Canis lupus familiaris: one gene and its partner. The protein of the gene in region 2 interacts with the protein of the main gene of each other region in a biochemical or structural test. Links are inferred from orthologs where the notes say so. Each region holds a gene or a part of one and is shown on either strand. Other genes may lie near its edges. The genes, in order: OPRD1 and GPRASP1.

Region 1 (15,723 bases), on a different chromosome or scaffold from region 2:
CTCTCTTGGATACCAGGGAGGGCAGGCTTGGTGAGGACAAAAGGGGACGGCTATGCATAAAGTACTTGGAGAGAAGACGTCCTCTTGAAAACTCCTCCAGTGTTTCCAGTGCACACTGTCCCATCTTCTGAAAGTCAAGATAGTTACAAGGCAAAGTCCTTTGCCCCTGACCCACCTACAGTGTTAAGAGATGTGGGTCAGGGCAGGTACAACCTAAAACGTTAGGTCACGTTAAAAGCTCCACTTTTTGCACACTTCCTCTGCACAAGGCCCTCCACTCATCCATCCACTCGGTGGGATCACTACCGCGTGCCGGCTGCAGTGCCATTTGCTGGGAACACTTGTGTGACCAAAACAGACAAACCTTTTTGTAAATCTTCACAACTCCTTGTGTGTGTGGTCACCGGCGACCGGGAAAGGGGGGCTCCGAGGGTGAAGTGACTTACCCAGGGTCACACAGCAAAGTCATAGCGGGGAGCTGAAAAATTCTTGGAACAAGCAAGTCTTCCAAGGCAGGGAGGGAGGGGATGGGGAGAGGGCCCGGCCAAGGTCACGGCAGCTTCTTGGGAGGCTGGCCCCGCGCTTCTGCAGCCAAGGTGAGGAGGCACAGACCCGAGCCCCAGGAAGGTTCCGTCCGGGTCTATGGGGGGCACAGGGGTCTCCCCGGTACCCTCCGTGTAATTGGTTTCCTCGGGGGAAGCAGGAGGAGGAAGGCATTAGAAGTGGACCTGACAGAGCTAAGGCGGGGTCCCCACCGGCACAGCCACGGACGAGCCGGGTGGCCAGGGGCAGGCCCGTCCCTCTCGGGGCCTCAGCTTCCTCATCTGGGAGGTCGGGGCAGGAATCCTAATAGCGCCTGCCTCGCAGTCAGGCTGTGAAGATGAAGTGAACTACCTGTGGAAAGCAGCTGAGGACCGAGGCGGGGCCGAGCATCACCTGCTGGCATTACTACATGGCCTCTCCCGGGGCGGGGGGTGCAGGAGAGCACCCCGAGCCAGGTGGGCTCCCGGCCAGGCTAGTGATGGGGCTGGAACCTGGGCCACACCCGGCCTGGGGCTCTAGTCTGTCGGGATCGGCAAAGGCTCTCTCCGCAGCCCCTGGCCCGGGTCTGAAGTCCCAAGACACAGGCCACCTGCCACCAGAACCGCAGGGTGGGCCGTGCCGTCTGCGGCCTCCTCCGGGCTCCAGCCTGGGTAGGCTCAGAGCTGGGGGCCACTCCCCAGGGTGCCCAGGGATGAAATAAAGGAATGCATAATAACGAGTAAATAAATAAGGGAGAGCTGTGTGTAGTGTTTTGTATGGGTGCAATGGGACCAGGACCAGGACCTGGAAGTGGGGGGGGGGGGGGTAGGTGCAGGGGTTACTTCCTAGGGGCTCTGGAGCCTCTGAGCTGGTTCCCAGCCTGGATCTGCCTTAGGTCCAGGCGGAGAAGGCAGCCAGAGGCCAGGGGTTAAGGATCTGCTGCTGAAAACGGAGGGGCTGGTCTTTGGGCAGAGGCCTAGTGGGGGGAGCCTAGCCTGGACTGTGGCTCCTCTAAGTCCTCCCCAGACGCTGGTGGCTTCCTCCACCTTGAGGAGCGTTTCAAATTCCAAGCTAGGCAAGCCTCCTTAGCTGCCTCTGGCTCCCCACTATTGTCGCAGAATGATTCTGTGTCAGGGACCTACTGTGTGCCAGGCACTTAGGTAGGCGCCTCACTTGCCGGATCTCTAGCCTTCCAACGGGACTCTAGGAGGTGAAGTGACCTGCCTAAGATTACACTGCTAGCAACCGGCCAAGAACCCAGCAAAATTGGGACTCTTTTTAGAGATGAAACATCAGAGACTGACCCATTCCCTTGTTTTAGGTCTAAGAGACAACAGATGCTCCGAGAGGGCAACTCCTCCCTTGCGTCGGTCACACAGCCAGTTAGCTTCACAGCGGAGACTGGAATTCAGATTTAGGGTTTCCCAAGCCATGTAGGAAACTGAACTTGAAGGCTCTGGTTTATTCCTCTCCTGCCCTCCCCACCCCCAACCTCTCTTATATGACACTTGACATTATCCATCACTTCCTCCCCCTGGGAACGCCTTCCTCCTCCAGTTTCTATGGCAGCATATTATCCCCATCCTCCTCCTGCTTCTCCGGCAGCTTCTCACTCTCCGCTGTGGTTCCTGAGCCTAGAAGGTGGTGGGATCCCCAGGCCAGGTCCCCGGTGTCTTCTCTCTGCATTGCTGCCCCTGAAAGCTCATCTAGTCTTCCCTCTAGGCCTCCAGCTCTGACCTTGAGCTGCAGGACCGCTTCTAAGTAACAACAGCCACTTGCCCTGTGCTAAGAGCTTACCTGTATTTGGGACCCTGTGTTTGCACATTAGCTTATTAAATCCTCACAACGTCCCCATGAAGAAAGTCCGTTCTACAGATGAGGAAACTGAGGCAGAGAGGGAAAGCCAAAATCTGACTCTAGCTTTAACCACTACTTCTATTACCACAAGAAAAGATAGGAAATTGTAGGACGTTTTGAAACCAGAGGCAAAAACTTGCCTCCACCTCCTGAAGAGAGGGGAGTGGAAACCTGGTGGGGGGGATCAGACCTACTTCATGGTTTTGAGAGCCCTGTGATGATCTAGAATTACACTGTCAATTTGGAGCTTTAAAGTGCATCATGCACAGTACATTCTGAAATGTGAAGATTTGGAGAGCTCCAGGAGGAACAAAAGTTCAGGGAAAATTGCCCTTTTCCTTCAGATTTTTCCATTTGGTTTTAAGTCTTCAAAAATCCGCATTCCGGGGTTTCAGCAACTAAGGTTCTTCTATATTGATGATGCCTGGAATTCACCAGAAACTCGGATGCTGGAGTTCTACTGACCTGAGGCTCTGTGACTAGGGGTGAGTGGCTTGACCTCTGAACCTGTTGTCTAAAATGAGGGTAATAGTACTTCCACTTGGCTGTCATGAGGCTTGGATGGGAAAATGTGCATAAAGCACTTGGCACAGAGCCTGGCACTCGAAAGTGCTCAGTTAAGCTCCATACTTGAGATGCACATGGCTTTTCTCAGGTTCGCCAAGCACCTTAACATTTCCATGCTTTTGCACATGCTGTCCCCTCTTCTTGGTGGCCAACTCCTACACATCCTTTAAAGCCCTCTATTTCCAATGTCTTCTAGAATTGCTACAAATGGGTTTTAGTAAAAAGCTAGAAAAGATACTTTCCCGTGCCATCCTCCCCAGGGCTTCCTGTCACTGCATGCCTCGCACTGAGATGCAATGATCTGTTGATGCCTCGTGTCCCAGGCTGGGCTTGAATTTCCTGAGGGCAGGGCTATCTCTGACTTATTTCTGAGTTCCAATGCCTGGGGTACACAGCCTGGTACCAAGCGGATTTCAGTACAAGCTGGCTTTACCTTAAATGCGCATGGTCTGGACCCAGCCTCTGCTGACTCCAGGACAGATTTATGTATGAAAAGTAGTAAAAAGCAGCCAGGTCTGTTACAGCCTTTGGAAATGGCAGTGAGCAGGTCCAGGGCAAGCTTAAGAGAGGGTTGAAGGGGACACAGCCCTTGCAGGGAGAATCAACAGCCCTGGATCCAAGGTCACCTTCTTCAGAAGTCTTCCCCCATCCCTAAATTGTCCCCTGTCTCTGACATCTCTCCAAGGCATTAGCAGGAAGGGTCCCACACAATGAAGAGTGTCCAGGAGGGACCCCCGCCTTGCTGATACCCCACCCCCTCAAGCATTCAAACACAGAAGTCTCTATGGGCACTGAGCACTGCCTTACATCTTCCAAAGTGCTACTGAAGCCATTTCCTGGAGGAAGAAAATTCTCAGATCTGGAGCTTCTTGGGGTCTGCACCCTGAGATGGGGCTGTGCTTTGTCTACTAAAGGGCATCCCTACCCCTAATGTGCCCAAAGCCCATCCTGGTGCCTAAACCCCCAACCTCCTGAATGGTAGTTCTTCCCCTGCTGGAGTGACAGTCTCCCAGACAAGGGAGAGGCTTTTGTTCCAAGGAAATGACTGTCAAAAGGGAGAAGAGGTATCTTCTTTCCTTTTTTTTTTTTTTTTTTTTTTTGGTTTGAGACAAAGACGTCAGTTTCTTTCCATCTGTCCCAAAAAGGGAAGAAAAAATTAATTTGTTTCTACAAGGATGTCAGCTCACTGCTTCAATAGGGAGGCAGGGGTGCGGGACTGAAGCAGTGTCTGTGAGGGGAGGGGGCGGGGAGAGGAGGTGAAGCACGGGGGAGGCATAGGGAACAAGGACAGTCCCTGATAGGAAAGCAAAGACCTAGGAATGCCTGAATAAAATGCCAAACACATGAAGAGAAAAACTTCTATGCCTCGCTCTGGGTGGACCTGCCCTCAGCAGCCTGAAGGGGGCAGCTGGGGCCGGGTGGGGGCGGGGGCAATGGAGGGGCACACAGATGCTCACACTGTAGCCATAAAAGCCATCTTCCTCCCACTTACTTCAGAGACAGGCCCCTGTGTGGGCAGTTCCAGTTCCCTGGAAACACTGGACACACTGGTGCAGCCAGGTATTGGGAGACGGAAGAGGATTTCCCAGGGGTTCTTATCAGAGGCACAAGATGGGCAGGAGGAAAAGTCTACACCGGTGCTTCAGAGGCCCCCACCCAGTCCCGGTGGCCACTTACCATCCTTGGAGCTCTGACTAGCACGGTCCTCTGTCCTCCAATAGCTGGGCAGAGAAGTCAGACCCCTGGGGACCCCAAAAGTGTCTGTCTTCCAGCTTGAGGACCTGATGTCATAGCAGAAGTTCCCCAGGCTTGCTTCTGCTTCTGCCCTCCCACCACCCTGGACACAGAGGCCGACTTGCAGCTCTGATTTTGGAGCTCCAGGACCTCGCTTCTCCTTCTGAGCCCCACAGAAGGGCCGGGGACCTACCCTTAGCCTGAAGCCGATGGCCCTGTATCACTGGTATGTCCCAAGCCCCACTGGCACAAAGTGCTGGGGACACTACGTCGATGCTTGAGGCCATTCCATCCAAGAAAATGACTGTCAAGGATAGAAAAGGTATATTGGGGATCCCTGGGTGGCGCAGCGGTTTGGCGCCTGCCTTTGGCCCAGGGCGCGATCCTGGAGACCCGGGATCGAATCCCACGTCGGGCTCCCGGTGCATGGAGCCTGCTTCTCCCTCTGCCTGTGTCTCTGCCTCTCTGTCTCTCTCTCTCTGTGTGACTATCATGAATAAATAAATAAAATCTTTAAAAAAAAAAAAAAAAGAAAAGGTATATTGTTTCTCTCTCCCTATTTTCTGTTTATTTATAACGACAGTTCAGTTTATTTATAACGACACCAAGCCTATTCCCTGGACCTCCGCAAGCCCCATCTCTTGCTAGAACTCGGGGCTGGGACTCTACCCCAAGGCTGAGGCCACAGGCCCTACCCTATCTTGTGGCCTAATGTGAGCTGCAGGCCGACTCACTGACCTGTCCTACCCTCTGGCCCCCAGAAGGGGTCCCTCCCCACCACACAACAGACACCCAGGCTCGCAGCCCGGTTCTCAGGGTCCCCCCCTGCCCCCTGGGTCCTGGGTCCGGATCTTCAGGTCCCAGGCCAACAAGGCCGCCTCTGGCTAGAACCCGAGGTTGTCCCAAGGTTGAGGCCGGCCACCGCGGAGGTCCCATTCAGCAGCCCGGTCCCAGAGCCACAGCCCCCACTCCCCCAGTCGCGCTCCCCGCCCCCAGCCTCCAACCCAAAGCCGTGGACCGCGCCCTCCGCCCGGAGCCCCGCCCCCGCCCCCCGCCCCTCGGCTCCAGCGCGACCCCCTTCCTCCGGGGCCGGGCCCGGGGTGGCGGCCGGGTGGGCCCGCAGGGGCGCGGCGGGCGGGGCCGGCGGGGCTGGCGCGGCTTAGGCGGCGGCGCCCCCGCCGGGCCCGTCGGACGGGGTGCAGGCGGTGACCCGCTCGCGGGCCGTGGTCTCGCGGGCGCGGCTGAAGCCGCCGGGCTCGGGGCGGCCGCAGGGCGAGCGGCAGAGCTGGCGGAAGCAGCGCTTGAAGTTCTCGTCGAGGAAGGCGTAGAGCACGGGGTTGAGGCTGCTGTTGGCGTAGCCGAGCGCGATGCACAGGTGCAGCGCGGCCACCACGAGCGGGTCGCGGCGGTCGATGTCCACCAGCGTCCAGACGATGACGAAGATGTGGATGGGCGCCCAGCACACCACGAAGGCGCCCACCACCACCAGCACCATGCGCGTGATGCGCCGCAGGCTGCGGTCCTTCTCCTTGGAGCCCGACAGCAGGCGCACGCTGCGCAGGCGCAGCAGCATCAGGCCGTAGCACACGGTGATGATGAGGATGGGCACGACGAAGGCGAAGAGGAACACGCAGATCTTGGTCACCGTGTCCCAGTACCAGCTGGGGCTGGGGAACTGGAGCATGCACACCACTGCCCCGTCTGCGGGGGAAACAGGGAAAGACAGCAGGTGAGGGGCGAGTGGGCCCCGGCGGCCCCGCCTGCGCGCCACCCTTCTTGGCTCGGTGGGGGCCCACACCTCCCCGCGGCCCCTGTTCACAGGGATTCTTCCGCCTGGAATGTCCCCCAACACTTCCAAAGCTGGTGAACTCCTGCTCACCCTTAAAGACCCCAGTGGGATTGGCCCTAATCTGGGAGGTCTCCTTTTCTGTATTTTCTCCTGGTCCCTTTAGAAGCCTCTACATGAATGGACGGCAGTAATGATCTAATTTAGCCCAGACCCACCGAATGCCAGTCACTGTGAGAACTCAAAACACTCTACCCATTTCCAGACTAGCTCCAATGAGGACAACCCTGCTCAGACTGATCTAAAGAGCACTGATGAGTTAAGAGCAGAACTCGGCCCCTACTAATGTGTGGTGTGACTCTGGGCAAATTATTCAGCCTCCAGGAGAGCTTCCATAAGGTGGGACTAATATGAGGAATCAATGGGCTAAGCCTCCATAAAGTGAGACTAACGTGAGCATTCTATGAGCTAAAGCATGTGGAACATTTAGCACAGGGGGGTTCAAGCTCTTCATGCACTCACAGGGCAGAGGGGCAGGTACATATAGAAGTCCAGAAGTCAGGGATAGGGGCAGGGAGACAGATCTCAGCTTAATAACAAGAACTTTCGGACTGCCAGATTTGTCCAGAGGTGTCCCCATAGTGGAATGAGCTCCCTATTCCCGGAGTGTGGGCGTGGGCTGGAGGAGCACCTTAGGGATGTTTGGGATACAGGCCTAACACTGGCCCACTGTCCGTCCGCCCAAGAGCTCTTGGAACTCTGGGTTTTGAGGAGCCAGGCAGTGGACTTGGAGCCTGAGACGGGTAGGAAGGGTGCTGGGGATCTACAGAGTGGGTCCACCCCACAGCAGGAAGGCAGAACCGCCAGGATGACTGAGGCCAGGGATTCCACTGTGCAGATGGCAGAACAAGGCTCAGAGAGGAACAGCACTCATCCAAGCTCACACAGCAAGTTACATACAGAAGCAACAAGCACTGAGTGGGGGAGTGTGTGTAGGGGATAGAGTGTGGAGTGAGGAGGCCCATCTGGTCTGGCACCCAGCTGGGATGCAGTTAATGGCCCATAAACTGAAGGCTGACAGTGAGGAATGGGGCCCAGCTGCTGAGTCAAGACCAACTGCACAGAAGCTGTATGAGGGCACCAGGGCCTCGTCGTTGGGGGAAAGGGGAAGTCAAAAGTCCTCCCACCAAGCCTATTCCCTTTCCACCCACAGCACCAACCCTCTGCAAACCTCCACGCCAGGGGGCAATACCAGTAACAGATATAAGGGCAGAAGCCTCAGGTTCTAGGTCAAATTCCACCAAATGCCTGCCGTGTGACCATAAGTAAACCACTGACATCTCTGATTCTAGATGTTCTTTCGGTCAAATAGAGGTCAGAGTCCCTGCCTTGTCCTAAGTATTTTACACATCTAGCCTCCTTTAAACTTCTCAACACTCCACGATACAGTGTGGCTCAGATAGGTTAGTGACCGGTGTGGTTGGTCCCCTGCTAAACTACTTGTCCCATTTCCTTATGTCAAGGTGGGAGCCATGTAACCAGCTATCCCTAGGAAGAGACAGGCCAGAACATTTAAAAGCTGGTCATGCTCTCTCATCACTCCTTCTCCATATTTATCCGCTTGCCAGCAGTGGAGGATTCCAAAACCATCATCTGGAGCCTGGGTCCCTGAAGAACTGTGGAATAGAGCTCGCCCTCCCCTGACTCACGTTAGACTGTGACATGAGTGATAAATAAACCTCTATACTGTTCAGCATTGAACTTTGGAGATTGCCTGTTACAGCTGCTACCTGGATACAGGTAGCTACTATATTAATTACCATTCTTATTCTGAGGAAATGCACCTGTAATTTTCTGAAGGCTATTCTCTAGGCCTTGCCTTGGTCATCTGGGCCAGTGGTTTTCCCACTGAGGTGGAAGGGGATTTGGGATGAGATTGCAGATTTTATGGCCTCCACTGCTCACTTGTCAGTGACACCCTCACCCCATTGGCCATCCATCCATCTCCCTTTAGTCAGTCATCCACACACTCCTGGCCAGCTGCTCCACACCCTGCCCCCTCCACAATCCCATTCATAAGTTTCCTTTGACCAGCAACCCATCTGACCACTGACCAGTCATTCATCCTCACAACAGTCAACCATTCACATTCCATTGGTTGACTCCCTACACTCTCACTGGTCAGCCATCCACACTTTCATTGATCAGTAATCCACACCTCTACCGGTATAGAGCCACCTCCGCCCACTCTAATAAATGTCCTGCAAACCCACAAGGGCCCACATGCTGCCTCCTGTGGTCAGTGGCCTGTACCACAGCTCAGCCACTCACTCACCCCGGGGGCGGGTCACAGCCATGACCATGATAGGTACACCCACACCCGAGGCCAGGACCCAGATGCAGATGTTGATCAGCTTGGCCTTGGCCGGTGTGCGGAAGTCCAGAGCCTTGACAGGGTGGCAGACAGCAATATAGCGGTCGACGCTCATCATGGTGAGGGTGAAGATGCTGGTGAACATATTGTAGTAGTCAATGGAGAGCACAGCCTTGCAGAGCAGTTCCCCAAAGGGCCACGTCTCCATCAGGTACTTGGCACTCTGGAAGGGTAGTGTGCTGGTGGCCAGTGCATCTGCCAAGGCCAGGTTGAAGATGTAGATGTTGGTGGCTGTCTTCATCTTAGTGTACCTTAAAAAGAAGTGTGTAGGTTATTGTTCCCATTCCACCGATTTCAGTTTCACATGAGACTCAGAGAGGGGAAATGATTTGCCTGAGGTCACGCAAAAAGTCTGGGGGCAGAGGTGGGACTGGAATCCTGACCCACCTAACTCAGCATCACATCTTTTCACTTTACTGGATGCAAAAGGATTTCTCTGGCTGTGGCTGACTTTGGCAGAAGGCATTTTAGGAAAAACCCTTCATCTTCTGAGGGGTACTAAGCAACACAGTTAAAAATAAAACTGGGCTCCGGGGACACCTGGGTGGCTCAGCAGTTGAGCATCTGCCTTCAGCTCAGGGCATGATCCCAGGTTCTGGGGATCAAGTCCCACATCGGGCTCCCTAGAAGGAGCCTGTTTCTGCCTCTGCCTATGTCTCTGCCTCTCTAAATAAATAAATAAATAAATAAATAAATAAATAAATAAATAAATAAATAAAATTTTTAAAAAAATAATAAAACTGAGCTCAGACAAAAACAGGTCTAGGTTCTAACCCTGCTTCTATTTATTAACTGAGGGACTCTGGGCTAGTAAGTTGAAGTCTCTAAGCCTCAGTGTCTGTTAGCTGTAAAAAAAAAAAAAAAAAAAAATGCGGGGTGGAGCAGGGGAGATGATGCTTTTACCAACCTCATAGGGTCGTTGTGAAATGTAATGGGATGATACTGCACTTAGTCCTGAGCCCAAAGCATTGCAAATGCTCAGTATATGAGGGTATTATTCTTCATCTAGGAAGGCTGGAGACTAGACCAGAGTGACCTGACCCTCTAGCTTCTGCCACTGACCTTTTGGAAATATGATTGGCCAGCTCTGAGGAAGGGACCCTGCCTCTGCCTAGCAGACTGGCTGGGGCCTTAGACCTCCTGGGGTGCCCTCTGTGGTGGACCAGGGTTCTCAGTCCTTCCTGTAGTCTCATCTAGACCTCCTTATCCCACTCAACTGCACTCTCCCATACATCCAATCCAGGGATGAGCCCAGGTATCCAAGCCAGGGATGAGCCAACTAAGCCCCCCTGCACCTGAAACATTCCTCCATGCTCTACACCACTGTGCAACAGCCTGTGTCACAGCTGGCCCCTTCTTTGGCCAACATTTCTGCCCTGGCCCCCTCTGTACCAGGACCTGTGCTGGGCCAAGGACACCCTACCAGGCTACATACACTGAGATACACTGTCCTAGTGCAGTGAGATCATCGCAGAAACACACAGGTACACCGAAGCAGGGATAAGGACTCCTTTCATGCCCCTACAATGATCTGAGAAATCCAGAGAAGGGTGGCATGAGCAACTCCCCAAATTTCAAAACAGGAAGAGCCCTGAGAGAGGGAAAGTGATTAGATGGAAGTGTGGTCCAGGGACTCCCTTCAGAATTCCTGGAAGAGCAGATTCATTGACCCCACGCCAGATCTATTAAATCTTAATCTTTGGCAACCAGGCCTGGAAATTTTCACCTTTTTTTTTTTTTTTAAGTAAGCTCTAGGCCCAACGTGGAGCTTGAACTCACCACCCTAATATCAAGAGTCATATGTTCTACCAAGTGAGCCAGCCAGGTGCCCCAGAAATCTTCATCTTTAACAAGCACTACCCCCAAGTGATTCTTATGGGCTCTAAAGTTTGAGAAACATGATGTGGCCTAAAGCCCAGATGAGAAGACAGGGAAACTGAAGCCCAGGGAGGTGGCATGACTCACCCAAGGTTACACAGTGACAGCGGCAGAGCCAAGGCAAGAACTTAGACCTCCTTCCTGACTCCCAGACCAGTGCTCTCTCTCCACTCTGCCCCAAGGGTTGAACCACACTGCATGCCTCTACCCCTCTAGAAACCCCCCGCTACCACACCCAACCCTGGCGACCAGGATGCTACGGTGGTGCCGTGAGAGCTGACGAATGCGCTCTGAGTGCCCTCAATGTGTTTTGAATGACCGAGTGAACTCATACCAGCTAAGGCTCTCTCTTCATGAAAGGACTGTTTTGATTTGAGTCACTCATTGTCCTCCAGGGCCAGCATCAGTCCCATTCCTTCCCCAAATAGCTGTCATTTGCCCTGGGGCTGGAGAAGCAAAAGTTTTGCTCGGAGACAGCAGAATTTCAAGTCTCGGGAAGTCTGTCTTCAGCAGGGTGCGGGATCACAGCTGTGTAGGAGGCGGTCTCAACCCCACAGCTGACTCGTCTAATTTCGCTTCTTTTACGCAGAACAATTAGAGGCTGTTCTTTTCTTGCTATTTTGATTTGTGAGGATCCTTCAATTCCCAGAGGGGGCTGGGATGCTGGGAAGTGGGTGATGAAGCTGCTGTAGCTGGTCCAGGCGGGCTGAGAGGCACCACACTGACTGCTGGGCAGAGCCCGAGAGGCTCCCATCCTAACCAGCCCGCCCACCTCCTCCCCAGCTATTGAGGCTGCCAAGCCTGGCCCTACTGGCCTCCTCAGACAAATCATGCTGCTCTCCTGTTCTCAACCCACTAGTGGCTCCCTGAGGTTCTCTCCAGATTCCATGAACTGTTCCTCAAACTTTCCCCTTGACGGATGGGCCCTCAAACCCTCCCCCCATGGTTTCTTTGCTGTTCCTTGGACGTATTGAGCCCATTCCCACCTCAGGTCCTCCGGACTGCTGTTCCTTCTGCCTGGAACCCCACATTTTGCATGGTTTGTTCCTTCCCTTAATTCAGGACTCTATTCAAATGTTACCTCTGTAGAGAGGCCACACCTGGCCACCCTATCTAAACTACCTCTCTCCCCACAATCTATCTCCTTACGTTTGCTTCAATTTTCTTTATAGCATGAACCAGCACATAACTTACACTTTTTTTCTCTCTATTTGCCTCTTTCACCCATGTATGCTCCCCGAAGGTAGAGGACTTTGTCCATCCTATTCCTTGCTCTATGGCTGGGCATACCAATTGGACCCAGCAAATAGCAGGCCCTTGAGAGACACTTGTATGCAGGTCCTAGTCCAGGCCTCATGGAGACCACAGAGCCCCCACTCTCCCCCACAGTTCACCATCCAGGTAAGTAAGGGTCCTCACTACAAAAGTAGATTTGCTCAGGATACTCTTACTGCTGACAATTCTTCCATGGCTCCCCATTGTCATCTGGATGAAAATTAAACTCCTCAGACTGACATTCCATCGGGGTAGCCTCCTTTCCCACAGTGCCTTCCATGTCCAGCCACATCTGTAGTTCCTCAGATGTCCAATCTAGCATGCCTGCCCTGCTAAGGACAGCCATTGTAATGGTTGGGGGGGAATCCTTTACGCACCACACACACAAACACATACACACACACACACACACACACACACACGGCTTTTTATAAAATTTTATTTCTGCCAATGTAATACAATTACACTGTGTAAAAAAGCCATATAGTACTACAATGAAAACAGGTTCCTCACTCCTCTTTCCTGCTCCCCAGAGGCAACCACTTTTAATATTTTTAGTTATTCTTCTAGCGATTATCTCCATAATTCTAAATAACATGCTTAAATGGCTATATCCTCATTTATCAGTTTTACACAGTACATGCTGAAGTTTGTATCAGTTAAGCCACGCTACACAGAAGTAAATAATCCCAAAATCTCAGTGGCTTCACAAAATAAAGGTTTATTTCTCATCCTTGCAGCCTATAGAGTATCTGTAGGACAATTATATTCCATGAGGCAATTCCAGCCTGTTTCAATCTTGTGGCTCTGCCATCTTAACCCACAGCTTCCTTGATCACTGCTGAGGGAGAAGAGACAGCTACAGGGTCATCTAAGCTTCATTCTAGTGGCAACATAGCATTTCCACCTGGAGCTGAGTGACCAGACTGGTCATGTGGCCCCACCCAACTACAAGGGTGCAGACTATACAAGAAGTATAGTCTTCCATGTGCCCAGAAGCAAGGAGCACCTGATTTTAGTGAACACTAGCAATGTCCTCCACAACCCCTAATACACTAGACAAGTATTAACTCTTACACTACCTAGCTCCACTTCTTTTCTCCACCCTTTCAATATAGTTTTATCACAACTTCTAAATCTTTTAATTAATATTTGGGGTTTACATTCTTTGTTTAGGGTTTACATTCTTTTTTTTTTAAGATTTTATTTATTTATTCATGAGAGACACAGAGAAAGAGGCAGAGACACAGGCAGAGGGAGAAGCAGGCTCCATGCAGAGAGCGCAATGTGAGACTCAATCCTGGGACTCCGGGATCACGCCCTGAGCCGAAGGCAGACGCTCAACCGCTGAGCCACCCGGGCGTCCCCAGGGTTTACATTCTTATGACTTTATACATATTGTCCATTGCTGAACCAAATGGCATCCTATAATTACATGTATTTTCTGTACATATTTTTTTTCTGGAGTTAATAATTGCCTCTTTTTTTCCTCATTTGCTTAGTTCTATGTACATATTGCTAAATCTCCTTGAGCATTCCAGCAGATATGTAAAATGCTTTTTCCATACAGTCACGTAGGCTATCAGATCCTTTTGTTTTCCTAGTGATCCACCTCCTGGAGCCTTCCTTTTCCCTTTAATTTGGGACTGGCTGCTTTCTAGACCAGCTACATACCTGTCCTCCTATGTTGATGAACCTGCTTTCTGGTTTGCAAGTCTTTTCTATCTTGGTCTATGCCCTCATTTTGGTGAAACACATCCTCTAGTCACTTCCTAAGAAAGGGTACATAGGAAGTAAAATTTTTATATCCTTGCATATCTGAGAATGTCTTTATTCTATCCTCCCTTCTAATTTCTTTAACTGTATATGGAATAGTTGGTTGGAAATAATTTTCCACCAGAATTTTGAAGGCATGGGTCTCTCATCTTCTAGCTTCCAATAGAGGCTGGAACCATTCTGATACCTGATGATGTATATATAATCTGTTCTCCCTCCCCCACAACCAAAACTTTTAGGATCTTCTCTTTATCCCTGGTATTCTGACATTTTGTGATGATATACCTTAGTGTGGTTCTTTTTCATTTGTATTGGGCTCTCTCATTCTGAAGATTCATGTTCTTCAGTGTGAAATATCCTCACTTCATTTATTTGGTCGTTAACTCCCCTCTGCTTCCTCTGGAATCCCTAGAAAATTGTCAGTCAGATATTGGGCATCTTGATTGATCCTTTAATTTTCTATCTTTTCTATTTTCCATCTCTTTGTCTTTTTGGTACATCCTCTGGGAAATTTCCATTTCATTACCTCTCAACCTTTCTATTGACTTTTTTATTTTATTTTGGCTCTCATGTCTTATTTTCCCAGTGTCATTTCTTTTTCTTTTATTATTTCTTTTTTATATAGAATTTATAGCATCTTATTTCATGGATACAATATCTTCTCTTATTTCTCTGAGGATACTAATAATTTTTGCTTTGTATTTTCTTCCACTCACCGCATTGTCTATTTGCTTCAAACATTTCTGTTTATTTGTCTCCTTGAGCTTCCCCTTTTATCCTGGAGGCTTCCTTCAAATATCTAGTGATATATGACTAAAGGTTGATTTTTGAGTACGGCACTAAATAACTAATTAGCAGCCCTGTGTGTGTGTGCGTGTGTGCATGCACGCATCAGTGTGGGGGTCCTGCCAACTGCCTTATAGGGGAACTGGGAAAAATCAAGCTTTTATAGTGGGGAATATCTAAATATCATTGTCAGTATGTCATTTCTCTGGGGGCTTTAAGAAAAGAATCCTCCAGTCTCCTGCTTGGGGAGCATACATCTGGCTTTCAGGATTATAAAAGCAGACCTGGAGGAGGAGTCAGTGGACTCCCCCCCTCCCCCACTTTTCTTTTGGTATCTCACTCTGACCCTTTCTGTGTCTGCTGGTCCCAAATTCAGAATTCTCCCAGGTTAACTTCTCAAGGGAAAAACCCTTAACCTCATGCAGAGTGGAGGGTAGTCACCTGACTGTGCAGTGTACAAGGGGGGAGGAGGGCTAAGGGTCTCAATGCTCCCTCTATAGATAGGCCATTCCCTGCCCCTGTTTCCAGCCCCACACCTCACTCCTGCTCAGCTTGTTACTCCCCTTCAAATTGCTTTTCATCATCCAAAACTATGTTGACATCTCTTAAGGAACATAAACTGAGGCACAACAGAAGAAGTAAACTGTCCAAGGTCACATGACCAGTAAGTAGCAGAGAGGGTATTTAATTCAGGCTATCTAGTGCTGACATGTGGTAATGACTTTGCTATACTGCCCCTCAGTGCATGTTACCTTCCTTCCTGTCCCCACCCTTCCTGCCCCACAGTTAGTGAAAAAGTCAAGGAATGTAAATTTACTATAGGCTGATATTTGTTCACCCTTCTAACAGGCATTAATCAGCATCTGGTATATGCCAGGCACTGAATAAGGAATATGGGAGTGAAGATGATAGCCCAGTTTCTTAAAATTTATGCTCTTAGGGAGGGATCAGACATTGAACAAATTGCTACACTAATTAATGTACAGTTATTCACCATTACTGCTCTACCATGAAGGATACGAATAGGGTATAGTGATGGACACTACCAAGCCAGAGTGCGGCGGTGGTTTATGGAAGGAATCTGGCTTAGATTGGAAGGTCATCAATG
Region 2 (16,319 bases):
AATAAAATAAAATCTTTAAAAAAATAATAAAAATAAATAAAAATTTTGAAAGAAGAGATTCAAACAGATACTTGTTCACCAATGTTCACTGCAGTATTATTTATAATAGCCAATAAGTGGAAACAACTTAAGTGCCCATCAACAGATAAAGAATATACAAAATTTGGTGCACACACACAGATACACAGATATGCAGACACACACACACAGTGGAATACTCAGGCACAAAAAAGGAATAAAGTTCTAATACATGCTACAACATGGATAAACTTTATTTTTGGAGAGAGAGTGTACACATGGGAAAGGGGGAGGGGCAGAGGGAGAGGGAGAAGCAGACTCTGTGCTGAGGGACGGAGCCAACACTCCTGCCACTCGGGGCTCAATCCCAGGGCCCTAGGATCATGACCTGAGCTAAGATAGATGATTAACTGACTGAGCCACCCAGGTGCCTGAACATGGATAAACACTAAAAACATGCTAAGTGAAATAAACCAGACACAAAAGAACAAAATCATATGATTCTACCTATAATAAATATTCAGGGAAATGAACAATGGGTAGTGGAAGGGGAGGCGGGTGGGGGTATGGGGTGACTGGGTGACGGGCACTGAGGAGGGCACTTGATGGCATGAGCACTGGGTATTATACTATATGTTGGCAAATTGAACTTCAATAAAAATATATTTATATATAAAAGAAATATTCAGAATAGGCATTTTCATGGATACAGAAAGTAGATTAGGAATTACCAGGGGCTGAAGGGAGGAGGGAATTGAGAGTTACTGCTTAATGGTTTATATAGTTTCTCTTTTGGGTGATGAAAAAGTTTGGAAATAGATAGTACTGATGGCTGCACAACATTGTGAATGCAATTAACATCACTGAATTGTGCACATAAAAGTCATTAAAATGGCAACTTTCATGTTATATGTATTTTACCACACTAAAAAGTACTTAAAAACATGTTGAAAATGATGGACCATAAATGCTTAGTTGGGTAGGGAATGAAGATAAAGCCAGGAGGTGTCCTACAGGAACAAAGCAGAAGAGATAAGGGACCTGTGCAATCTTACATCACTCAAACTTAAGTTTGAGATGGGCCATGTACATTACTAATGTAAAGCTATGTGGGGTTATGGAGTTACAAAGTGGGTACATATGCTGGCTCCAGACTCAGACTGCAAAGGTTTGAATCTCAGCTCTGCTGCTAACCAACTCAATGAGCTTGGGCAAGTTAGTTAACCAATCAGTATATCAGCTTTCTCCATGTAAAATGTGGATAGGGGGACCTACTCCATAGGGATGTTTTAGGATTTAAATGAGTTAGTACAAGTAAAGCACATAGGATGGTATCTGGCACACAGTAAACACTTAATGAATGTATAAGTATTAATAATTATTATTACTACACATAATAAAAAGTTCAGGCTTTGAAATTCAGATATTCTCAAAGCCCAAGCTTCCCCCTCTATGCTGACTCTAAATACAAGCTCCAACTTACTAAGAAGATTCCAAGGCACAATATAAAGACACAAATGCTAAAATAGAGGAGTAAATAAAAAACTTTGGAAATGCAGAAGGGGCTATTAATTCCAACATGGACACAAGGAGGATAAGCACGTCAGGGAAGACTTCAAAACAACCTTGCATTTGAGCTGACCTTAAAAGGAATGAGTAGTATGCCCAAAAGCAAAAAAAAAGAAAAAAAAAGGTTTGTAAAAGCATTGCAGTTGGCCTAAGCAAACAAACAAAAGCAGGAAAGTGCATTAAAAGTATGGAAACATTGGCCCATTGTGGTTTGAATGTAGGCCACATAGTGGGATATAATGGGAAAAATAGAAAGGTGAAGGATACAGAGCTCTGAAAGTCTTACTGGGGAATTTGGTGATATTGTAAAGATGAATTCCCATAGAAAAGTCCTCTTTTAAAATTGAGGGTATGGTAGACAGTGTCAGTGTGTGCTAACAGTCCAGGTGTGCTGTAGGAAGATTACTTCGTAACAGGAAGATGAGAAATCCATCCTGATTTTTACTCCCAGGCAGCAACATTTTAGAAGTAGTATCAGATCAGCCCTGATACTACATGGAGTTGCCTGAATTATTTTTCCAGGAAAGGAGTGAAACAAGGGATGAGCAATAGGGTTTTGACTTCAAGCACACCCCAGGAACAATTTAGGAAATGAATGTCTCCCCTAATTCCCACCCAAGGAGAAACCATCAGCTTCTTGCTTTGAAACAAATAGCTGCATACCCCACTCTTTAGCTGATAGAAAATTCCATAGATGTCAACTGATTGTGTGCTCCATAGAGCATTTGAGATAGAGAATATTTCCAAAGGGCCTGGTCCAATTGTATTGTGACAACCCCAACTCTGAAATTAGTACACATAGTTGGAATTCCAGGGGATTAAAAAAATTATAAACAAGCACCTGGGTGGCTCAATAGGTTGAGCATCTGACTCTAGATCTCAGCTCTGGTCTTGATTTCAGGGTTGTGAGTTCAAGCCCTGTGTTGGACTCAATGCTTAATGGAGCCTACTTAAAAAAAATTACAAAGAACTTCAAAAATCTAAGCTGCAATTACATATTGCAAAAACCCTACTTTTTTCACACTTAATGTACATGTGTGGCCAGTTATCCTTCATTTCAATTCCTAAGTGTATAAAAGATGAGTTCAGAACTGACCTTAATGGAAATTAAACTAAGCATGGCTTCTAAAACTGGGAGTATATGAAACCTTGTTCAAGTTTTTCAGTTTAGGTCTTCCATCAAAAACATAAACTAGGAACAAGAGGAAGTTTAAAAGAAAGACTAGTATTTGTACACTGATCCTAATATCTATATTTCTCAATTCTTAGTAGTAAAGGAAAGAGAACAATAACAGCAAAGGAAGCAGAGATGATCCCAGATCCCAATCTATACTCTGAAATCTATGCCAGTAACCCCCAGCCAGAACCTAGTTTTCATTAAGTATAGGCAGGAGGAGCTGAAGCAGTACAGACAAGGCTTCAGCTCTGTAACCTGCACCAATAGATAGGATAATGGAACTAGGGGAATTAATTTCTTCCTAACCACACATCCCTAAAGGACTTTGGAATCCTATAGCCATCTCACTGAGCTCAGCTTGCTGAAATCTGACCAAAAGGGGTCAGCACAAACAAGGTGCTGCCACCAGGATAGGTGCAAAGTACCAAGCCCAAAGTACTGGCAAGCAAACAAAAGCAAGGATGAGAGTAAACAGTCACCAAGGCAAGACAAATGAGACTATCCATGAAGCAGTTTTTGTAGTTGGTCTCCAGGAAGACCTTTCTTTAAGGCCCAGGACTACAGGGGATGAAGCAGTAAACCTGGTACCTTGATGGGGGTACCTGGAGTTTGAGGGCATGGTGGGGCTGGGTCCTTTCAGAATCATACTCCCATGTCTTTGCTGAATGGGAGTGAGAACCAGGAATCCTCCTGGGACTTAAAAAGCTTCAAGGTATCCTGATGAGATATCCTATGTTAAAGGGTGAACAGAGGTTCTGGGACTCAGACTGGAATGAAAGTATATATGTTCCCTTTCTCCTAGGACTGTGTCCTCACCCCCTTCCCCAGATGAGCCCAGAATGTCATCTAGTAGCATAGTCCTCTCTCATGGTATTGAGTGATTCCATTCCTTGAACACGTTGAAACTACAGGATCTATGTGAACTTATTTTGTTTGTACCCTCCGTCCCACACACAAAGACAGTACTCTTTATCATCTTTGTGATAATTGTGCTTTATCCTTCTAACTAGACTTCATGGTTTTTTTTGTTTTGTTTGTTTTTTAATTTTTATTTATTTATGATAGTCACACAGAGAGAGAGAGGGAGGAAGAGACATAGGCAGAGGGAGAAGCAGGCTCCATGCACCGGGAGCCCGAGGTGGGATTCGATCCCGGGTCTCCAGGATCGTGCCCTGGGCCAAAGGCAGGCGCTAAACCGCTGCGCCACTCAGGGATCCCTCTAACTAGACTTCAACTGAAGAACTACGACAATGTTTTCATCAGTTTTAGCGTATAACTTTATTAACACGTAAATAAAGTCTCAAATGAATACACTTATGTCAATATAAAGCACAGAAATATAGCTTACTCAGGATGAATAGATTCATTATCAGGTAATGTTGCAGAAATACTAAAAATATCTCAATTTATATAGCACAATAAAAATCAACAAACACTCAAAGCTCTCAAGATCATTTGGTATCCATAAAATCGCTTCCTTCAATCAATAGAAATAACATAAATATTTAACTTACAATTATAATATGCATGGCTTCATATTACAACACCAAAAAAATTGTTCACGGTTTTGTGAGAACATACAGCTATTCAGAGTTTGAGTATTAATCGTATAACTTTATCTCTCACCTCAGGATCACTGTGCTCTGCTAAGTCTTGGAGTTTCTGACCAAACTCTTTTGCTTCCTGGAATATGGAAATAAGCTCAGATTTAGTGAACTCTTCCTTGGTAAACAGCTTCGCCTTCTTTTTGAATTGGAAATTTATATTCTCAAATATTTCAATGATACTAAGAATATTGGCCTTTGACTCATTCTTGTTAAAGGGTGCGACCAATGATGATAGTACTTTGGCACTAATCAGTTCTCTTGTATTGGCTTGATTTTTAGACAAGCGCAAGAAGACTTTTAAAACATAAAACTTAGTTTTGACACTTCCATTGTTTAACAAAGTAAGGAAATCTGGAATGTAATTTGCAATTATATGGTGATCCTCAAATTTCACACTCAGGTGCACTAATAATTTTAGTCCAGCCAGTTGCACAGGGGAGTTCAATGGATAAGAGATTATGTCCTTACAAACTTGATGTATGTATGACTCTGCTGGTTTTCGTTCTTCAGAAGACTCAGAGTTATCATCTACCATATTTAAAGCTCTAGGGTGTTCTGTAACATTGGGATTACTGACCAAGTTTTCAATCATAACAGTAATACCTACATCATGAATTATATCTTGGGTAAATGGATAAGCAGGACTGATGCCCATTATCATAGTAGCTATTTCATGAATAAAAGGATCCTTAGTTAACTTAAGTAGGGCAACGAGTTTATCAAACTCTTTAGGCTCCAAACTAAAGTCACGTGATTTACAGCGGCAGGCTCTTGGATTGGGCCCATACTTTTCCCTATACCTAACTTGGTTTTTTATCTCAGCTAAGGTTTGGAAGTAGGGCCCTTTATAGGGTGGGATCTTGGTCAGAGGCCGAATTCCCAGAGGAGTTTCAATCAAGGTCTCAACCAGAGTCCAATTCCCTTCTGGAGGCAAGGATGGCTCCCCTCCCTCTATTGGGACTAGGACACTATACCTGGCCCTTGACCATGCTGCTGCTTTTTGCTTTATGGTGAGTTCAGGTTTGGGTATGGGCTTGGGCTTTTCCTGGATCTTAGGTGGAGGCTTATAAACTTGAGAAGGAGTCTCCTCTTCAGGCCAGAACCAGGATCCTACACTAGGCTCTTCTCCGGTCCAGAACCAGGAGCAGACATTTTCTTCATCCTCATCACTGGACTCGATTATAATACCAGCTCTGTCCCCAGCCTCAGCCCTGAATTTGATGTCATCCTCTCTCTTTCTCTCGGGCCTGGACTCAATACTGGCCTTATCATCAGCCTTGGCAAAGGACCTGATAGCAGTTTTACTTCCAGCAGCAGCCTTGACTTCACACTTGGTTATTGCACTGACCCTGGCCATAGGCATCACCTTTGACTTGGTTTGGGGCACTATACCAGGTTCTGCCACGGATTTTGCCTTAGTCTCAGTCATGACTCTATTCTTAGTCATAGTTTCCATCTTGCCCACATCCCTTGTCACAGCCACGGCCTCAGTGCAGGTCACTGTCTGTGTCCTGGCCACTGCTCCATCCCCAGCCTTGGCCTGGGTCACTGTTCCTGTTTCCAGTTCTGCCTCACCCACTGCCTTGGCCTGGATCCTAGCCTTGGCTCTAGGGTTGGCAGGGCTACTGATTCCAGCTTTTAGGGCAGTCCCAGCACCTGCTCTGCCCCTGCCTCAGCCTCAGAGCCAGTCATGATCCAAGTTAAAGGCAAGGCCAAGTTATATACCCCAACCCCGTCTCAGCCTTGACTGAAGGTCTGTCCCAGGTTGGTGTTTTCATACAAAGTCCATTCGTCACTCAGCCCCCTTTCCACCTACAAGCTCTGCCAATGATATAAACAACGTGCAGAGGAAGCTCACTCAGGGAAAGGAAGAATGGCTTTGTGCCTGAGCGCAGCCCTGTGGAGGGTGGTGGTCTTCAGCCACTCCAAGGCCACCAGATCTGCCACTGAAGTTGGACCTAGGAGTGGAGGAAGGAAATGGGGCTTTGAGTCTCTTCCAATGTATTTCTTACGTTGATTAGCACAGAGAGACAGGAGAGTATGAACATTCAGGGCTAAGTGAGAGAGGTAGATAATTATCAAACTCTCTCTCTCCTCATTTCACACTCTCTACAAAACTTCAGGTGCTACTAATTTTCTTTCTAGACACAAAACAGGAGTATGGAGTGGGAAAGCTTAATGGGAATGAGAGAGACTAAGGAATCCCTAGACTGGCTCTTTATCCCTGCTGGACTACTACTTCATCCTACACGTCTACTGAGGAAGTCTCCATATTCATACCAAACTTCACTGATCTGGAGTAATTTTCTCCTCCTTTCCTTGCTTCCGATGTTGACAAGCCCTATGGCAGACCTACAGGCAGATCAATGGACAAATAAACAAATCGGAGGATATGGACACTGACCTCATGGTAGAAAGATCATGGTCCTTGGTCTAGTTCCTATATTTGTAGTTTGTGTAATGTTTCCCTCCTTCTGGTCCCATACCACCATCGCCCTAATTCAGGACTGATCCTCCTTCTCCCTGTTGCCCACCATTTTACTATTCAGTGACTGTCCTTTCATTTCTCTAGTTTAAAATTGGCTTAGGTGAAGCATAAAAATAGGAAAAGCAAGTGGGAAATCGGAAAAACAAGTGTTACCCTTCTATACTCCCAAAGCTTTCAAAGACTCCTATCTAAATCAGCAGGGAACCAAAGAGGGGTTAGTAAACTGGCAAAACAAAAGAGAATAGAATTCCCTAGTCTCAATCTTCTCCTGTCTACCCTCACACCAATCGTTAACTGATACAGGGCATGTTTCTTTTCATTATTTCCTAGGTTCAAGCTGGGTTACCATTTGTAAACCTTCACAACAGAGTTCCACAGACCTGGAGATGGGTCCATAGCCAGAGAGTCACAAATGTGGTGATAAATAAGTAAATGAAGACACATGAGACAATGGAGACTAATTCCTTAGGAGAGATCAGCACCTGGGACACCTATCCTTTCTGGAGACAGGTACCTGTTTGCCAAAATTTTCTGTGTCCCTTTCTTCCTCCCTCTCCCTTCATGTTCCTCTGCTCCACTCCTAAAGTCTGACAATTCCCCTACACAGACAACTCCTACATCCCTAACAAGATAGTGGTGGTGGTAGTAGAGATGAAATGCTCAGACAAGCCATGGAAATTGGCTGCAAATAAATGAAAAGTATTATCTCCAAATTTCATCTAAGCGTTTGTTTCCTTCCTCTCCCTAAAGCCTATCATTTTCTGCAACACAGCAGGAGTAAGGGAGGACTGTTTACAAAGCATGTAGAAAGGAGATCTGGAGTTTCACCTAGATTCCTGCCTGTTCTAGTCTTAGCCATCTACCAACTCCAAACACTGCCCACTCCACAGAAATTAGGCCCAGCGTCCTTTTCTTATCCCCTCCCTCTGAGGTCCAAGGCCCTCTACAGATCTTTACAAAAACATCTGTACCGAAAACTTCAGAACAGACCTAAATATGTAAACGCATGATACACACCCAAAGACCAAACAAAAAGGCAGTGAGAGAGACTTGGTTATTAATGGTCTGACTAGTAACCAGGACATGAGACCATTTTCTAATCCAGGGCCTTGATTATCAAACACTTGAAACTGCTTTTTACACTCTCCCTCCCAGGGTTCCCCTGACAACCACGCTCACCTACAGCAATAGCCCCTCCTTCCATTATACAAACCGCCATTTCTCCGCTAGAAGCCGCTACTATACTCCTTTACCTTCCCAAATACGGTCGGAGGTGGAGTTAGTGTCTGGAAATCAAGCTAGCAAGATCATTTTAAATTTATAGTTGCGTGCCACTCAAATTACCCCTGTCCCCCTCTCCCTTTCACCGCCCGCGCCCCACGACCAGATCACTTTTCCCAGATTTCTCTCTGATACCCATATCCACACTCCCAAGAAATGCCCGCCTTCTCACTGACCTGCTCTGCTTGGATCAGAGGCAGTTCTCTTATTTCCTTGCCTCAAGGGGTGCTGTGCCCTACAGAAAGAGGGACGGACAGTCAGCTGGACACGAGGACTCGAGACAATGGCGGCGACTACGTTTGTGGATTGGCCCGGCACCTGGGATTTCGGACGTGAAACCTGCTTTGTCATATTAAGGGCCGTAACTTGCAAACAATTGCCACTTTTTGGTATTCCCTTACCCCCCTACCCAAAGCTCCTCCGATACCCACGTCTAGTGACTAATTAACAGCTACCTTCTCCTCCGCAGACTTTGCTTTGCCACGTCCCCGTACCCATATCCGCAGCCGCAGTCTCTGGAGAGTTGTGTAAGGCGATCCGGCCTTACAGAAGCGGAGTGATACTAAGCTTTGTATAGCGCCACTGCGCCCTCTGTCGGTGAGCTCAACTCTAGCCTTTTCTCATCCTGGTAAGAGCTGGAGCGGCATTTGAACGTAGAAGAAGCGGCGCGATACAGAGGGAAGCAGACCAACACTAAAGGGTCTCAGCATTAGTTAGTTCCCTTCTTTCAGGATCTTCCCCCAACCAAGCCAACACTTTTGCTTTTTCTTGAACTGAAGCGCATGTGGATTATCAGGCGGTGGCGTCGCTGACTCCACTCTGGCCCGACCATGCGGAAGGATACCTCAGTGTCTTACACACTTTCCAAAGTCCTAGGTCCACCTAAAGAGGCGGGTTGGGGGAGGGGATGAGAGGGTCGACAAAGAGGCTCAAGACTGAGGGAAGAGGGTACATTCTAATCTATTCCAAAAGCCGTCAATGAGAGAAGACACCTCAAGCTGAAGCACCAAGCACTTAATTCTCTGCACAAAATGGGATACTGTGGGCTTGGTGTCTGGAAGACTACTCTGGTCTGACTTGCTGAACAATATCAAACATCATGGGCTTTTATTGCTATCTTCTAAGTTTCTCATCTTATTGCCTACCGTGTTTCTTGTACTAAAATAGTAAAGGCAAAATGGGATAAAGATATGGGGAAAGCAGTAAAGGAGAGAAGCATCTTAATTCCAAATATTCTTGTGTGTACCTATCCCATTCTCACGCCCTGCCTCTCCTCCTGTCCACAGTATTTCTTGCACCTAAATATGTGTGGTCTTGAGCGTGCACAAGAGGGTAACAATTCTGTACTCATGAAAGAAGCTTACTCATCAAATAACCTTGTACCTGTAAACCACCTATGTTGGAGGTTCTATGGTGGCCTTCCCAAATTTTTTCATTGCTTATGGGGCGGTGGAAAGGAAGAAGGTGGGAAGGGGTTCCCGTGGAGGCCTCGTTACTGTTTCTGTTCTAAAGGAAAGCAGACCTTGCCCTCTAACACAAAGAAACAAACCACTGATCTGTGCCAAGTCATTCTTTATGCCACGCTGCTTTTTTTCTCACTTGAAACGGTAGCACACTGTGCCATTTCTAGGTCCCTACAGTTGCTCAAGAAAAAGGGCCTGTCTCTGTAAGGATCCAAACCGGTCATGCAATCCTTCCTATCTGTCACCTCACGGCCAGGTGTCAGGCACTAGTTAGGGATGGTCTGGCTTCTCTTCCACATTTCTATCTAAGGAAAGGGATACTACCCATGTACTTCTCAAGGCAGATCCTAGCTGCTCTCCTGCCTCCTTTTCTCTCACCTGCCTAATGAATGCATATGCTTTATCTCTGAATATATAAAATTCTTTGAATTTGCATTCCAAGCACTGTCAGGAGGGAATTTGAATTAGACTGTAAGTTCCATGAAGGAAGGGCCACTTTCTCAGTCTTGTTCACCACTGTATTCTCAGTGTTATACATGGAAGACAAAGTAGTCAGTTAATAGTTGAAGGAAGTGAAGACCATTGACTCATGAGAATTCCACGATATCTTCTGTTGATTATAGATCAATGCCTGCCTAAAAGTATGTCTTTGTCTTTAATGTCTGTAACCCCAGAGCGTAGCCTAGAGTCTGCCACACAGGAGATGCTTTATATGTGATTTTTCAATAGAGGAGGGAGGAAGCAAGAGTTTACTAAAATATATTTTAGAAAGAAACTTGGGGTATCTTAATATCTCATACTGTAATAACATTTGGTGGATACATATAATTTGGATTTGGTGCTTTGTTACTCTTTTTTGGTCTTCTTTTTTTAAAGATTTTATTTACTTATTCATGAAAGACACAGAGGAGAGAGAGAGGCAGAGACACAGGCAGAGGGAGAAGCAGGCTGCATGCAGGGAGCCTGATGTGGGACTCCATCCCAGGACTCCAGGATCACGCCCTGGGCCAAAGGCAGGCACTAAACCCCTGAGCCACCAAGGGATTCCCTCTTTTTTGGTCTTCTATTCATGTTTAGAATTATGCCTTACTAAGCTCCCTAATATAGTGCAAACCCCTATGAACTTATAAAGAAAGGATAATGACCAACAATCCAGTAGAAAAACAAATGACAAGACTGTTCATTAAAAAGACAAGTCAAGGGACATGTGCACAAATGCACATAACTATTGACCAGCAATTATACTTAAAGAATCTATCCTAATGTAATATTTGTACATTGCAAAATACTATATGTAAAAAAATATTCACTGCAGAATTTTTTAATAGTAAAAGATTGGAAAGATTCTAAATAATTATAAATAGTAAAATTGTGGTGTATCTCCCTGTAATATGCAGCTATTAAAAAGAAAGAGCAGCTCTATCTATGTATACTGATATGGAATGATGTCCAAAACACATTTTTAAGTGAAGAAAACAGGGTGCATAGCAATGTTTAGCGTGCCATCATTTGCTTAATGATACTTTACTACATATATGTATACATTGAATATCCCTGTTAATATCAACAAGTAACTGGTAACAGTGCTTGCCTTTTTTGAAGGGTAACCTATTTGCAGAGAAAGTGGAAGGAGACTTGAAGACTTACCTGTGTGAACTTTTGTGCTTTTGGAATTTGGAACCCCATGTTTGTATTAACCACTCAAAAATAAAATTTAATTTAATATATTCCTTAGAATCATAGGATATTTAATAACCTATACCAAAAAAAAAAAAAAAACCTATACCACATGTTCTTAGGAATGCTAAAACTCTGCAGGCCTACACCCTTGGATTCTAAGCTGGGCCACTGTGTCAGGAAAAAACAGTGAGAGAGTCCTTTTTGTTTGTTTAGGAATATTTCTAATTCTGCAATAACATTAGTGAGGGTAGGTGGCTTACCCTCCAGATTTGAAGGACGAGCTTCTAATACTTCTTTACACACTTTTCCTGTGCGATTCACAATGTAGTTTACTAAGTAAGTCCATAATAAATGCTATTCTAGTACTACTACTACTACCAAAGATAATGCTTTCCATTTAGGAGAATGTATTTGAATCCATACAGAAATCAGATGTAAAACAGCACTGTTGATACTTATGAAACACTCAAAGAATAGAAGGGGTACCTATTGAAAACAATGATTATTGTTTGTTTATGATTATTGTTTGTATATGGGAGATATACATTCTATTTCTTAGGCACCTTTATTGTTTTGGAAAGGTTCCAGATTTGGGCACATCCATTGGAGGAAACAGAGAACAGTGAGATAGTTCTCACGATCATACTTTTAACTAAATCCATAGGTTGCTTTAGAACTGTTCCTTAGGGGCACCTGTGTGGCTCAGTCAGTTAAGTGTCCAACTCTTAGTTTCAGCTCAGATCATTATCTCATGGGTAGTGAGATTGAGCCCTGTATCAGGCTCTGTGCTCAGCAGGGAGTCTGCTTGAATATTTTCTCCCTCTGCCTCTCTTGACTCTCTCTCAAAAATAAATAAATGAATCCTTAAAAAAAAAAGAAATGTTCCTTATCCCAAAAATGGTTCAGCTTCTTTTCTATTGTATTTTTTCTATTGAAATTGCTAGGAATGTGTCTCTTCCATATCCTTTAACTTATTTTTTATTACATAAGTTATATATGTTCACAGTAGAAAACCTAGTAATTATATGGAAAATTAAAAATATATATATTGCATTTCCTAACACTGATAAATACTCCTAACATTTTGATATATACCCTCCCAGACTTTTATCAATGCCAATATGTGTATATATATTTACACACATATACACACACACATTTTTCAAGAAAAGATTTCATTATACTTATTTCATTGTAATCAGTTATCTTTTCAGCAGCATAAAACATGCTGTTTTTTTTCTCCCATTTTAAAAACACACTATCTTGAGGCCCCTATTTCCCCCAAAGCTTCTGCTTCCACCATTTCTTGGTTCAAAGATTTTTCTACTTGTTTATTTATAGTAGTTTGCAATTTGCTTTCTTAAAATTATGTTTAGGAAAATTTTAATGACATAGGGAAAACTCTTATGAAATGATGCCAAGTGAAAAAATATATTCTCTAAAACAATTTTATCCAGAATATAAATTATATAGGGAAATGGTATGTGCAAAGAAAAGCAAAAATCAGTAGTTATTGTATTTATGATTTCGATTATAGTTTTCCCCATAGTTTTATAACCTGTATTTCCCACATTTCTACAGTAATTATATTATATTCATGAAAAATTCAGTATTATTTTAAAAGATCTCACAGTGGAGTGGGATTGATACTTGGGAGTGGTATTTATATATATTATAGTAAGTATATTTTTAATTTTATAATAAACTACACAACCATTGTCTGAACTTGCCATACTGTTTTATATTCCCAACAAAAATGCATGTGATTTCAAATTGCATCACACTCTTTCCAGCACCTGATATTGTCAGCCTTTTTATTTTATTTTTTAAGGATTTTGCTTATTTATTCATGAGAGATACACACAGAGAGAAAGAGGCAAAAACACAGGCAGAGGGAGAAGCAGGCTCCATGCAGGAAGCCCAACATGGGACTCGATCCAGGTCTCCAGGATCACGCCCTGGGCTGAAGGTGGCGCTAAACCGCTGAGCCACCGGGGCTGCCCTGTCAGCCTTTTTAAAATTAGGAATTAGGGACGCCTGAGTGGCTCAGTGGTTGAGCATTTGCCTTTGGCTCAGGGCATGGTTTCGGGGTCCTGGGATCGGGTCCCACATTGGGCTTCCCTCAGGGAGCCTGTTTCTCCCTCTGCCTAAGTCTCTGCCTCTCTGTGTCTCATGAATAAATAAATAAAATCTTTAAAAAATTAAAATAGATTTAGAAATTATCGAGATTTCATATAAGTTTCTCATTTTAATTTTAATTTGCAATTCCATGATGATAAATAATGTTGAATATCCCTTTATGTGCTCATTGGCCATTTATATATCTCCTTTTGTGACAAATCCACTGTTGTTTGCACATTTGATATTATATTTGTTTTGCATTTTACATTGGATTGGATTTTATTGGATTTTTAAATATTTTATATTTGATTTTATATTGGATTGTCTTCATATTATTGATTTGTAAATTTTATTATTTTTTTGATTTGTAACTTTTTAAATATATTCTGCATATAAATCCTTTGTTAGATATCTCTTGCAAGTATTTTCATTATCTTAATGTTGTCTTTCTAGGAGCAAAACATTTTAAGATGTTTAATTTTTTTTCTCTTAGGGTTCATGATTTTTTGTCCTAAAAATCTTTTCTTTTTTTAAGATTTTTTTTTATTTATTCATGAAAGACAGACATAGGCAGAGGGAGAAGCAGGCTTCTCACAGGGAGCCCAATGTAGGACTCAAACCCAGGACACCAGGATCACGCCCTGAGCCAAAGGCAGACGCTCAACCACTGAGCCACCCAGGTGTCCCTAAGAAATCTTTTCTACCTCAAAGTTACAAAGAATTTCTCCTACATTGTCTTGTAGACACTTTATAGTTTGAGCTCTTATTTTGAAGTCCACAATAAATTTCAAGTAAATTTTCTGTAAAATGTATGGTAAGGATCTAGGTTCATTTCCCGCCCCCCCCCAAAAAAATATACAGTAGAACCAGCTTTATTTGTTAGAAGGACTGACTGTCCATTCCCTTGATCACTTAAATTATCTGAGTACCTTTTTAAAAAATCAATTGATGGCTTATATTTGTCTATTTCTAGACTCTATCTTGCTGCATTAATCCATGTTTATGTCCTTATACCAATGCCTCATTTATAGCTTAAAAATCAGCAGTGTAAGTCCTTCAACATTGTTTTTCTTTTCATATTGTTATTGCTCTTCCAGGTCCTTTGAATTTTTAAATAAATTTGATAATTTGGTTGTCTATTTTTATGAAAAATATGTCTAATAAGGAACTTGGATCTGGAATATATAAAGAATTCTTACAACTCAATAACAAAAAGACAAAAAAAGATCCAATTAAAACATAAAGCATTTGGATAGGGACTTCCCCAAAGAAGATATATAAATGACCAAGCATATGAAAAGATGACCAACATCAGAAATCATTAGGGAAATGCAAATTAAAAACCATAGGGAGGGCGCCTGGGTGGCTCAGTCAGTTAAACATCTGCCTTCGGTTCAGCTCATGATCCCAGAGTACTGGGATCTAGCCCCACATTGGGATTTTTGCTAAGCAGAGAGCCTGTTTCTCCCTCTCCCTCTGCCTGCCACTCTGCCTATTTGTGCTCGCGCACTCTCTTTCTCAAATAAATAAAATCTTAAAAAAAAAAAAAAACTACAGGGAGATACCACTCTATACCCATTAGAATGGCTATATTAAAACAACTCAAAACAGAGATCCCTGGATGGCTCAGCAGTTTAGTGCTTGCCTTTGGCCCAGGGTGTGATCCTGGAGTCCTGGGATTAATTCCCACATCAGGCTTCCTGTGTGGAACCTGCTTCTCCCTCTGCGTATGTCTCTGCCTCTCTTTCTGTGTGTTTCTCGTGAATAAATAAATAAAATCTTTTTAAAAAACCACACAAAACAAAAAAACCCATATAACATAACAAGTGTTGGAAAAGATGTGGAGAAACTCTTGTGTATTGCTAGTGGGAATGCAAAAATGGGGCAGCAATTGTGGAAAATAATATGGCAGTTCCTCAAAAAATTAAACATAGATTTACCATATGATCCAGCAATTCTATTTCTATGTATATGCCCAAAAGAATTGAAAGCATGGACCCAAACAGATATTTATACACCAATGTTCACTGCAGCATTATTTGCAATAGCAAAAAGGTAGAAGCAACCCAAATGCCCATTGACAGATGAATGGATAAACAAAATATAGTATATACATGCCATGGAATATTATTTAGCCATAAAAAGGAATGAAGCACTGGTACATGCTACAATCTAAATGAACCTTGAAAACATGCTAAATGAAGTCACAAAGGACCATATATAGAATGATTTCATTTATATGAAACATCCAGAATCCACAGATCTAGAAAGTAGATTAGTGTTTGCCAGAGGCTAGGGAAAGGGAGAAATGGGGCATGACTGCTTAATAGATATGGCAGATATGAGAATGCTTTTGGGGTGATGAAAATGTTATGGAACTAGATAATGGTGATGTTTGTAGAAAATTTGATTATACTAAATACCACTAAATTGTATACTTTAAAATGGTTAAAAAGGTGAATTTTATGTTATGTGACATTTTCCACAATAAAAAATAGCTAAAACATGGACTAACCTTGGAAACATTCCTAAATGAAAAAAAAGTAATTTATGTAAAATATCCAGGATAGGTAAACAACAGTGACAGAAAGCAGATTAGTGATTGCCAGAAACAGGATGGAGGAGGAATGGTAGTGAGTGATTAATGGTATGAAGTTTCTGAATAATTTCTGAAACTAGATAATGGTGACGGTTGTATAACATTTTGGGTATACTTAATGCCACTTAATTATATGCTTTAAAATGCTAAAAAAAGGGGGGGGGAACCTGGGTGGCTCAGTCAGTTAAGGTCTGCCTTTGGCTCAGGTCATGATCCCAGAGCCTAGGATCAAGCCCCCACTCCATGGGGCCCTCTGCTCAGCAGGGAGCCTGCTTCTCCTCTCTCTGTCCCCTCTCCCCACTCAATCTCTCTCTCT

Evidence for each region.
Region 1: the proteins of GPRASP1 (region 2) and OPRD1 form a complex in vitro, tested with the Homo sapiens proteins (2 studies listed by BioGRID and IntAct). The link is inferred for Canis lupus familiaris from reciprocal best matches to the Homo sapiens genes GPRASP1 and OPRD1.

What each region holds. Positions count from the first base shown.
Region 1 is NC_049223.1:71,076,992-71,092,714, forward strand, and holds the end of OPRD1 (delta-type opioid receptor), read right to left. Parts: intron 9,152-15,723; coding exon 8,802-9,151; intron 6,382-8,801; coding exon 5,840-6,381; downstream 1-5,839. UniProt on the Homo sapiens protein: G-protein coupled receptor that functions as a receptor for endogenous enkephalins and for a subset of other opioids.
Region 2 is NC_049260.1:76,610,986-76,627,304, reverse strand, and holds the start of GPRASP1 (G-protein coupled receptor-associated sorting protein 1), read right to left. Parts: upstream 8,732-16,319; 5' UTR 8,596-8,731; intron 8,483-8,595; exon of another isoform or gene 8,376-8,482; 5' UTR 8,317-8,375; intron 8,079-8,316; coding exon of another isoform or gene 8,039-8,078; intron 6,330-8,038; coding exon of another isoform or gene 6,230-6,329; intron 6,039-6,229; coding exon of another isoform or gene 4,352-6,038; exon of another isoform or gene 4,018-4,351; intron 1-4,017. Other genes in the region: ARMCX5 (armadillo repeat-containing X-linked protein 5), read right to left, coding at 4,352-6,038, 6,230-6,329, 8,039-8,078. UniProt on the Homo sapiens protein: Modulates lysosomal sorting and functional down-regulation of a variety of G-protein coupled receptors. Targets receptors for degradation in lysosomes via its interaction with BECN2.